2 linked regions of the Cricetulus griseus genome follow. The protein of the gene in region 2 interacts with the protein of the main gene of each other region in a pairwise test. Links are inferred from orthologs where the notes say so. Each region holds a gene or a part of one and is shown on either strand. Other genes may lie near its edges.

Region 1 (4,107 bases), on a different chromosome or scaffold from region 2:
GGGGACACAAAAGGGTCATTGCCAAAGGCTCAGTAGAAAACAAAAAGGAATAATAGCAGCATCTGCAGGATAGCTCGAACATGGCCCTTCTGCAGCACAGCGACTCGCTAAGACTCGTGCAGCAGTCGTGGAAGGCAGGGGAGGGCCAGCGCCGGAATCCGAGGGGAGCAGGGATGCAGAGGACGCTGAAAAGGAGGGCACACAGGGAAAGGGGGTATTTCGTGAGAAACGACTGCGGGCGAGCTCCGAAAATCGGCGAGCCGGAAAGGCACAGAACGCGCAGACAGGCGTAAACGAGGAGCTGCTCCAAGCGCGGGTGAGACGGTGTTTGGATCGGCCCAGGCTTCCCGCCCGCCATTAGTGCCCCGCTGAGCTCCTCCGCAGGCTCCCTTCCTGCCCCTAACCCTCCGGGGACGCCTAGGCCTCCTCTTACCGGTTCTCCGCCTCTCCTCACCGGCTCCCTTTCGGCCCTGGCACAAACGTTACACGGCGAAGGCGTGAAGCGAGGGAATGGCGGGCCCGGGGTACCCAGAATACCACGCGTTCCCAGGATACCGCGCGCAGGGCCCCTCCTCTTCCTTTCCCCAGCGGCGAGAGCGCTCTGACGTATGCTTCCTCCTTAACTCCGCCGGCTCGGAAAACGACGGCTCTGGCATTATCGTTCCGGCCCTGGAGAGGACCCGGGGGGCCGCCGGAAGCATCCGTCCTCGAGCCCCAAAAGGAACATGGAGACCCCCCCCCCACTTACAAAGTACTCCAGGGACGGATTGGGCGGGAGCTAGGCTGGAGCCCCAAAATTGCTGTGGTGCCACAGGAAGTGAGGCTTGGACTAGGAATCTAAGCTTTGGATCTGGTCGCCATCAGGTAAGCGGCGCACCGAGCGTGGGAAACTGGCATTTTTCATCGTGTGGCTAAGACCGAAAGGGAGGCAGAGGAGGATTCCCGGGGCGTTTCGATGAGGCAGGCACTGCGAGGGGCCGGCGCTAACACCCGGGGCTGCAAAGGAGCAAGCCGAGCGGAGGGGGTTTGGGAGGAGCCAACGTCGCTATGGAAGGGCCTGGGGGCGGGGCCCGGGAGGGGCGGGGCTTCCGCAGAAGGCGGGCCCTGCGGGTCGCTCTTTATGGGAGAGAAGTGGGTGGGCGAGGAGGCGTGGCCTAGGGGAGGGGCGGGTCTCCAGGCCGGGGACCTGGCAGGGACGAGGCGGGGCTTGAGGCGGCCTAGCCCCCGCCCACCCGGCTCTGAACCGCGGAGGCGGCGGCGGCGGCGGGCGGCGGTGGCGGCGGCGGCGGGAGGAGGAGGAGGAGGAGGAGGAGAGGCGGCGGCGGAACTCTCCCCACACTGGCCGCGCTCGCTGCCCAGCACAAGTCGCAGCTGCGATCAGCTCCAGGCCGGGGCCATGGGCGCCCTGCGCCACCCGGGTCATGAGGACGGAGGCAGAGGCAGCGGGGCAGCCGCTCGAGCCCGGTCAGTGCCTCTCAGAGGGCCTTGCCCTCACCGGGGAAACCGAGGGGGACTCCGCCCTGGAGCTGGGCAGGGTCTGGCCGCGCGACCTTGGGCCGCAGGCGGCCTCAGCCCAGACTGGAGCTTCCAGTGGACCTTAGCTAGGTGGATGGATATTCCTTCTCGTCTCCCGTCCTCCGCTTCTGGTTGTTTCTCGGGGAGTTCTGAGAGCAGTCAAGTGCAAAAGTCCGAGGGGGCAAAGGCACTGCCTTCCCCAGAAACGAATGGTCCTGCTTGAACCCCGTTGCGTGATGCTGTTCCTAGGGGGAACTGTGGAAGGCCTGGGGCTGTGAAGGGGGAAAGAACGGCCTGAGATCCCTCAGCAAAGGGAAGGGCCTTTTTTTTTTTTTTTTTTTTTTTTTTTTAATCTGGCTTCCCAAACGCAGCGCTTTTGTCTTAGTACTCTTCTCTCTCTGGTTCCCTCCGCCCCGAGGAAACCCGAACCCCTTTGCTTGCTCAAGAAGTGGGGAAAGTTGGAAGTCATGGTGGAGCTCTGCTTGGGGCACAAGAGTTGATATATTAATAAGCTGTTGTGGCGTGCTGCTATCTCATGGGAAGGGTCAAGGGGTTTGGGGCCTGAGCCCTTCCTTAAGTGTCAATTGGAGAGTAACACCACTTTCGGGGAATGGTTCCTTCTGGTGGTAGGCTGGAGCAGGGCTTGGACCTACCCTGGGATTTACATTTTTACTCCTCCAGTTATCTAACTGTGAACTTTGATAAGATCGTTGCCCTTTCTTAGCCTCAGCAAATAATGGCTCACTTGTGTCGAGCTAAGAGGTAGATACAGTGGTAAAGTGTTTATAGATGGTATAGGATTAATTTTCATAAATCCCGGTGAAGTAGGCTACTGCTGTTATTTGTACTTTTTGAGGTGAGCAGGCTGAGGCTGAGAGGGATAATGTGTCCAGGGAGAGTTGACTGCTTTCCTTCACTAGGGACAACCAGACAACTGAAGCCAGGCCACAAACAAAGCAGACCCTAGTTTTCAGGTAGGGTCACTTCTTGGCTTCAGACATCAATATCAGCAGCAGTTTTGAAGTCTAAATGCTAAAGCTGTTATCTGGACAAATACCAAGGCCTCTCCTACACTTATCACCTGCTTCCAGAAAACATCTTGCCTGTGCCAAGATCAGGATAGCCAAGTAGGGATATTTGCCTCGTGAGGCCTCAGGATCTAGGGGTTCTAAGGCTGAGTGAAGTGGGGGAGGGGGGAAAGAGAGAGAGAGAGAGAGAGAGAGAGAGAGATCGCTGAGTTTCTTAGGACCCTGAAGAGCAACCTTCCTAGCCCACATTTTATAACAGTATAAGAGAAGACATGGCCCCAACTAATTAGAACCAGAGTGCAGGCCACAGAGAGAAGAGGGAGTATCCAACAAAGGGTTGTGATCTGGAAGCCTAGAACTAATAGGCTCTGTAGTGACAAGGAGGCATTTCAAGGGGTAGAGCTTTAAAACAAACCTATTCAACAGCATAGAATAATGCTAGCTATGGGTAAAGTCTGGGAAGAGGCAAATGCAACCTTGACCCTACCTGCCTATTACAGAATTCTCAGGCCCACCAGGGAGAAAGCAGATGCCCCCTCTATGAGCCTGATGTGAGGGGGGAGGGGGAGGGGGAGGGGCAGAACATTTGGATGTCAGAGGTGAGAAAGCCACATTCCAGATCATTGGTTAGATAAAAACAAGATCCAGGTAGTAATCAGCTTGAGTAGATCAGAGCAAAAAGGGCATTTACAGCCTCAGTGAGGATTCTGGAAAGGGAAGACACCTATCTTGATAGCGCCTCATTCTGCAGAGAGTTTTCCATCAGTGTATTGAGAGAGAACGGTTTGAGTCTCTGGAGACTGAGGTTTACATCACCTTGGTTTGCCTGAAGCCTCTCACACAGCTCATCGTTCCTTCAGTAAGTGACTTTTTTTTCCTTCCTTTTTTTTAAACTTGTAGCACCGGGGATTGAACCTCGGTCCCTGACAATGCTACGCCCCCAGCCTCAAGTAATATGATGGGTCACTACTAAGCATTAGCTACTAGACAAGGAAACAGCAGACAAAACCAGCAAGTTACCTGGTGTCTTTGTTTATTTTCTCATAATTCTGGAGGCTGAGAATTCTAAGATCAGGGTGCTGGTAAGTTCAGTACAAGATCCATCCATTTCTTATAGCCAACTCTCTCTGGCTATGCCCACATGACAGGGAGAGAGGAAAGAAAGAGAACTTGCACAGCAGAGTATCAGAAGGATAAAAAGAAAAAGGCCTATGACTGTTAGCTTGCTTTTTCTTCTTTACTTCTTCTAAGATTTTGATTATAAAGTTTTGTGTGGCTCGAGTGTTTTGTCTGCATGTGTGTCCATGCAGGTGCCCTCAGAGGCTAGAAGAGGATGCCAGAACCCCTTGAACTGGAGTTACAGACAGCTGTAAGCCGTTGTGTATGTGCCTGGAACAGAACTGAGCCTGGGTCCTTTGCAAAAGCATCAAGTACTCTAACTGCTGAGCCATCTCCAGCTTCTTAGTTTTGTCAACATGATATAATCTATAATCACGTGGGGAAAGAGCCTTAGTAAGAATTGTCTAGGTTAGACTGGGCTGTTGGTTTGCCTATGAGGGATTTT
Region 2 (3,511 bases):
TATTCTCTCTTCGTCAGGGCTAAATTTAAAAGTAAAGCCACATTAAACTTTGGCAAAGATGTGGAGAAACTGGGAAGTCTCATGTACTGCTGGTAAGAAAATAAAATGGTGCCATTCCTTTGCAAAATAACTGGACAATGATCCAGCCATTCTACTCCTAGGTAGTAAACAGAAAGAAAAAGCAAGTATATACCAGAATGTTTGTAGCAGCTTAATTTAAAATATTAAAAACTGAACCCATTTAATGTCCACCTGTAGGTACATAGATACGAACATTCCTTGGTACACCCACAGCAGAAAACACTGATTACAGTGAGTTTTTGGAATATAAAAATGACATATATTAAACAGCACAGGGCAAATGTATATGACCTGAATGTCAAATACACTTTAAAATAGTTTTATTCTTGTAATTCTTTCTCTTATGTCCTACCTCATCTTTAGAGAATGCTATGATATAGGAAAGCTTTTTGCCCCATCCTATTTCATAAAGGAGAGGTTTGTCACAGACGTCTTCACATGCATCACAGTGCAGCCACCGCTGCTGAGAAGAAGAATAGACTTCTGTCCAAACATGGTCTACTCACATGGGGTAAGAAAAAGAAATGGGAAATAGAAGTTAAGTTTGTAAAACAAGAATAACTTCCAATTAACTATATATAATGTTCTACGAATCACATAATAATCTAATTTATAATGTTTAAATTTTAGTTAGTTAGCAAAAGCATTTTGTGGCACACATAATTGTAGATTATTTGTATTTAAATTTTTTAAAATGTACTCGTGTAAGTCTTAATTAAAAATAATGTGTGTTATAACTCTAAAGCAGGCAAACTCTAAAGCAGGCAAAGTTTTAGCAAAGCATCACAACCACCAGGCTGTGAAGGAATGACTGAATTTTGAAACTACAATCACTCTCTGGACCCACGAGGCCTAACAGGATATCCGGTTGTTTATGGTCTATATTTGGTTTTGAAATGGAGTCTCATCAATAGGTAAATGAATACCTAGGCTGGCTTCAATCCTCCTGCCACAGCCTGTGTTGAATGCTGGGATTACAGGCATATGCCACCATACCCTGCTTGAGGCTCTACATTTGATTTTGACAGAGAGAAGACTATTAGCTGACATTTTCATCTGATTCTAAAATAATAGTGTAAACAAGGAAAACCTTGAAACAGAGACAGCAACCAGACACAACAGTCATTTCTAAATGAAGACCAAGTCAAATACCAAGGCTTTCCTCAGAGTGTTTGTGTAGACTGCAATATAGGCCGTGTCAATTACAGCAATCCCTTTAAAAATGATCTCCACAGCACATTATTACACATATTCCCATCCACCCAGAACAGGGCTACCATTAATGTCATGCTAAAAGATTAGAAGGATACAGTCTAGCTCCCAGGAATAGAGTTAGGTCTGTTTCAAAAATCTTATGGAGCCTTGAGAATGCCTGTGAGGTTGGTACTGCTCTTATTTTACACAGGTATGGTAGTTTGAATAGGAATGGCTCCCATAGACTCATGTGTTTGAATGCTTGGCCCATAGGGAGTAGCACCATTAGGAGGTGTGGCCTTATTGGAGTGGATACAGCCTTGTTGGGGGAAGTGTGTCACTGTGGAGGCAGGCTTTGAGGTCTTATATGCTCAAGCTACACCCAGTATGACTCACAGTCTCCTTTTGCTGCCTATGGATCAAGATGTAGAACTCTCAGTCCCTTCTTCAACACCATGTCTGCCTGCCTGCAAGCCACCATGCTGCTTGCCATGATTATAAAGGACTAAACCTATGAGACTGTAAGCCAGCCCCAATTGGTGTTTTCCTTTATAAAGAGTTGCTGCGGTCATTTCACAGCAATAGAAACCCCAACTAAGACAGGAGGTGAATAAAAAACTTAGGCTGATATAAGAAAGAGAAAATTAGGGGCTTAGGGCACAAATCTGAATTCCAAATCTATAGAGCCCCTTTCCTACCTCACCTCTTCCTCTCTCCTACCACATGCTGTACCTGTGTAATCCCACACATATCGAGCTTCAAACCCTAATGCACGGCAACACAGCGTAAAACAATTGGCCCACTCGCCACAGCGTCCACATCTTGTTTCCAAAAGTTTCTCAGGGTTGTTATATCTGGTTTAAAAAACAACAACAAAGACAACAGCTGTGATTCATGATTAAAATCCAATTGTTAAAGAATTTCTATCACTTGTATGCTAAGTATCAATCATGAGTCTTAGTTTCTTGTTTTAAAATATTGGTTAAAGCACCCAGCCTATGTAAGGCACTGTGCTTGTCTTTGTGAACTATGCTTAAACAGTGGAAGTGTCTTCAGTGAGTATAGTTCTGGGCAAGGATGAACACAATTTCACTATATGCAGTCAATTTTAGTCTTAATTAAAAATGGATACTACCTCTTCAAGGACACCATCATGCTCAGGATCAGTAATACAAGCCATGTAACAACTAAGACACAGGTGAATGGTTGGAGAGGGAAGTTTTCATCTTCATGGTTTTGACAAATAAGATTTAGGTGGGAAAGTTTTCTAAGAAATGTAATTAAGACATTCAACAGTTATCTTGCAAGCAAGTTTTAAAAAACTACTCAAAGGATTTTAGCTTGGGGCAGGGGCAGGGGCAGGGGCAGGGGCAAGGGCAGGGTCAGGGATTTAGCTCAGTTTGTAGGGTACTTGCCTAGCTATAAGCCCCTGGTTTAATCCCCAGCACCAAATAAAGATGGCATGGTGTTGTACAACTGCAATCCCAGCATTTAGGAGGAGGAGGATTAGAAATCCAAAGTCATTCTTGGCTATAGGTGGAGTTCAAGGTCAGCCTGTGCCACTTGATACCTTGTTTCCAAAACCAAAACCAAAACCAAAAGAAGGGCTGGGGGGATTAGGGTTTGGAGGAATGGCTCAGTGGTTAAGAACACTTGCTGCATAAGCATAAGGACCTAAGTTTGGATCAGCACTCATGTAAAAAGCTGGGTGTGACCAAGCATAGTTGTAACCCCAGAGCTGGGGGTGATGGAGACAGGAGGATTTCTGAGGCTTGCTGGACACCAGCCTAGTTCCAGTTTTGGTGAGAGACTCTGTTTTAAGGAAATAAGGCAGATGATTCAATCAGCTTCTGATATTCTCCTGTGGCTTTCACTGTGTACCTGTGAACACACCTGTACATATACACACCAGGACTCCTCACCCACACACAAAGATTTTAATGTAGTATAAATTCCAGTTTTCTTTTTACTAATGATTTTGATTAATTCTTTGGACACATTTAAAGATGCCTGCTAATTTACAAACAAGATGACTGTAGCATTCTTCTGAAAGTTATTCCAATCATAAAATTATCCTAAGAATGGAGGGCACTGAGATTTTCATTCTGCAATGAGAAAGGCTCTGCTGGTGTGTTCAGTGCTCCAGCTGAACAGAAAAGTCAGTCCCAGGCCTGGGAAGAGAAGGAAGTAGTGCCATGAATGAACTGGCTCTGCAATGACAAGTTTGTTGAGCACA

The links. The genes of interacting proteins can lie anywhere in the genome.
Region 1: the proteins of Ngly1 (region 2) and Gucd1 interact in binary tests that used the Homo sapiens proteins (3 or more experiments, as listed by UniProt). The two-hybrid records come from large-scale screens. The link is inferred for Cricetulus griseus from reciprocal best matches to the Homo sapiens genes NGLY1 and GUCD1.

Annotation. Positions count from the first base shown.
Region 1 is NW_023276806.1:263,065,592-263,069,698, forward strand, and holds the start of Gucd1 (protein GUCD1), read left to right. Parts: upstream 1-1,304; 5' UTR 1,305-1,421; coding exon 1,422-1,464; intron 1,465-3,572; exon of another isoform or gene 3,573-4,107.
Region 2 is NW_023276807.1:173,763,770-173,767,280, reverse strand, and holds part of Ngly1 (peptide-N(4)-(N-acetyl-beta-glucosaminyl)asparagine amidase), read right to left. Parts: intron 2,130-3,511; coding exon 2,008-2,129; intron 580-2,007; coding exon 434-579; intron 1-433. UniProt on the Homo sapiens protein: Specifically deglycosylates the denatured form of N-linked glycoproteins in the cytoplasm and assists their proteasome-mediated degradation. Cleaves the beta-aspartyl-glucosamine (GlcNAc) of the glycan and the amide side chain of Asn, converting Asn to Asp.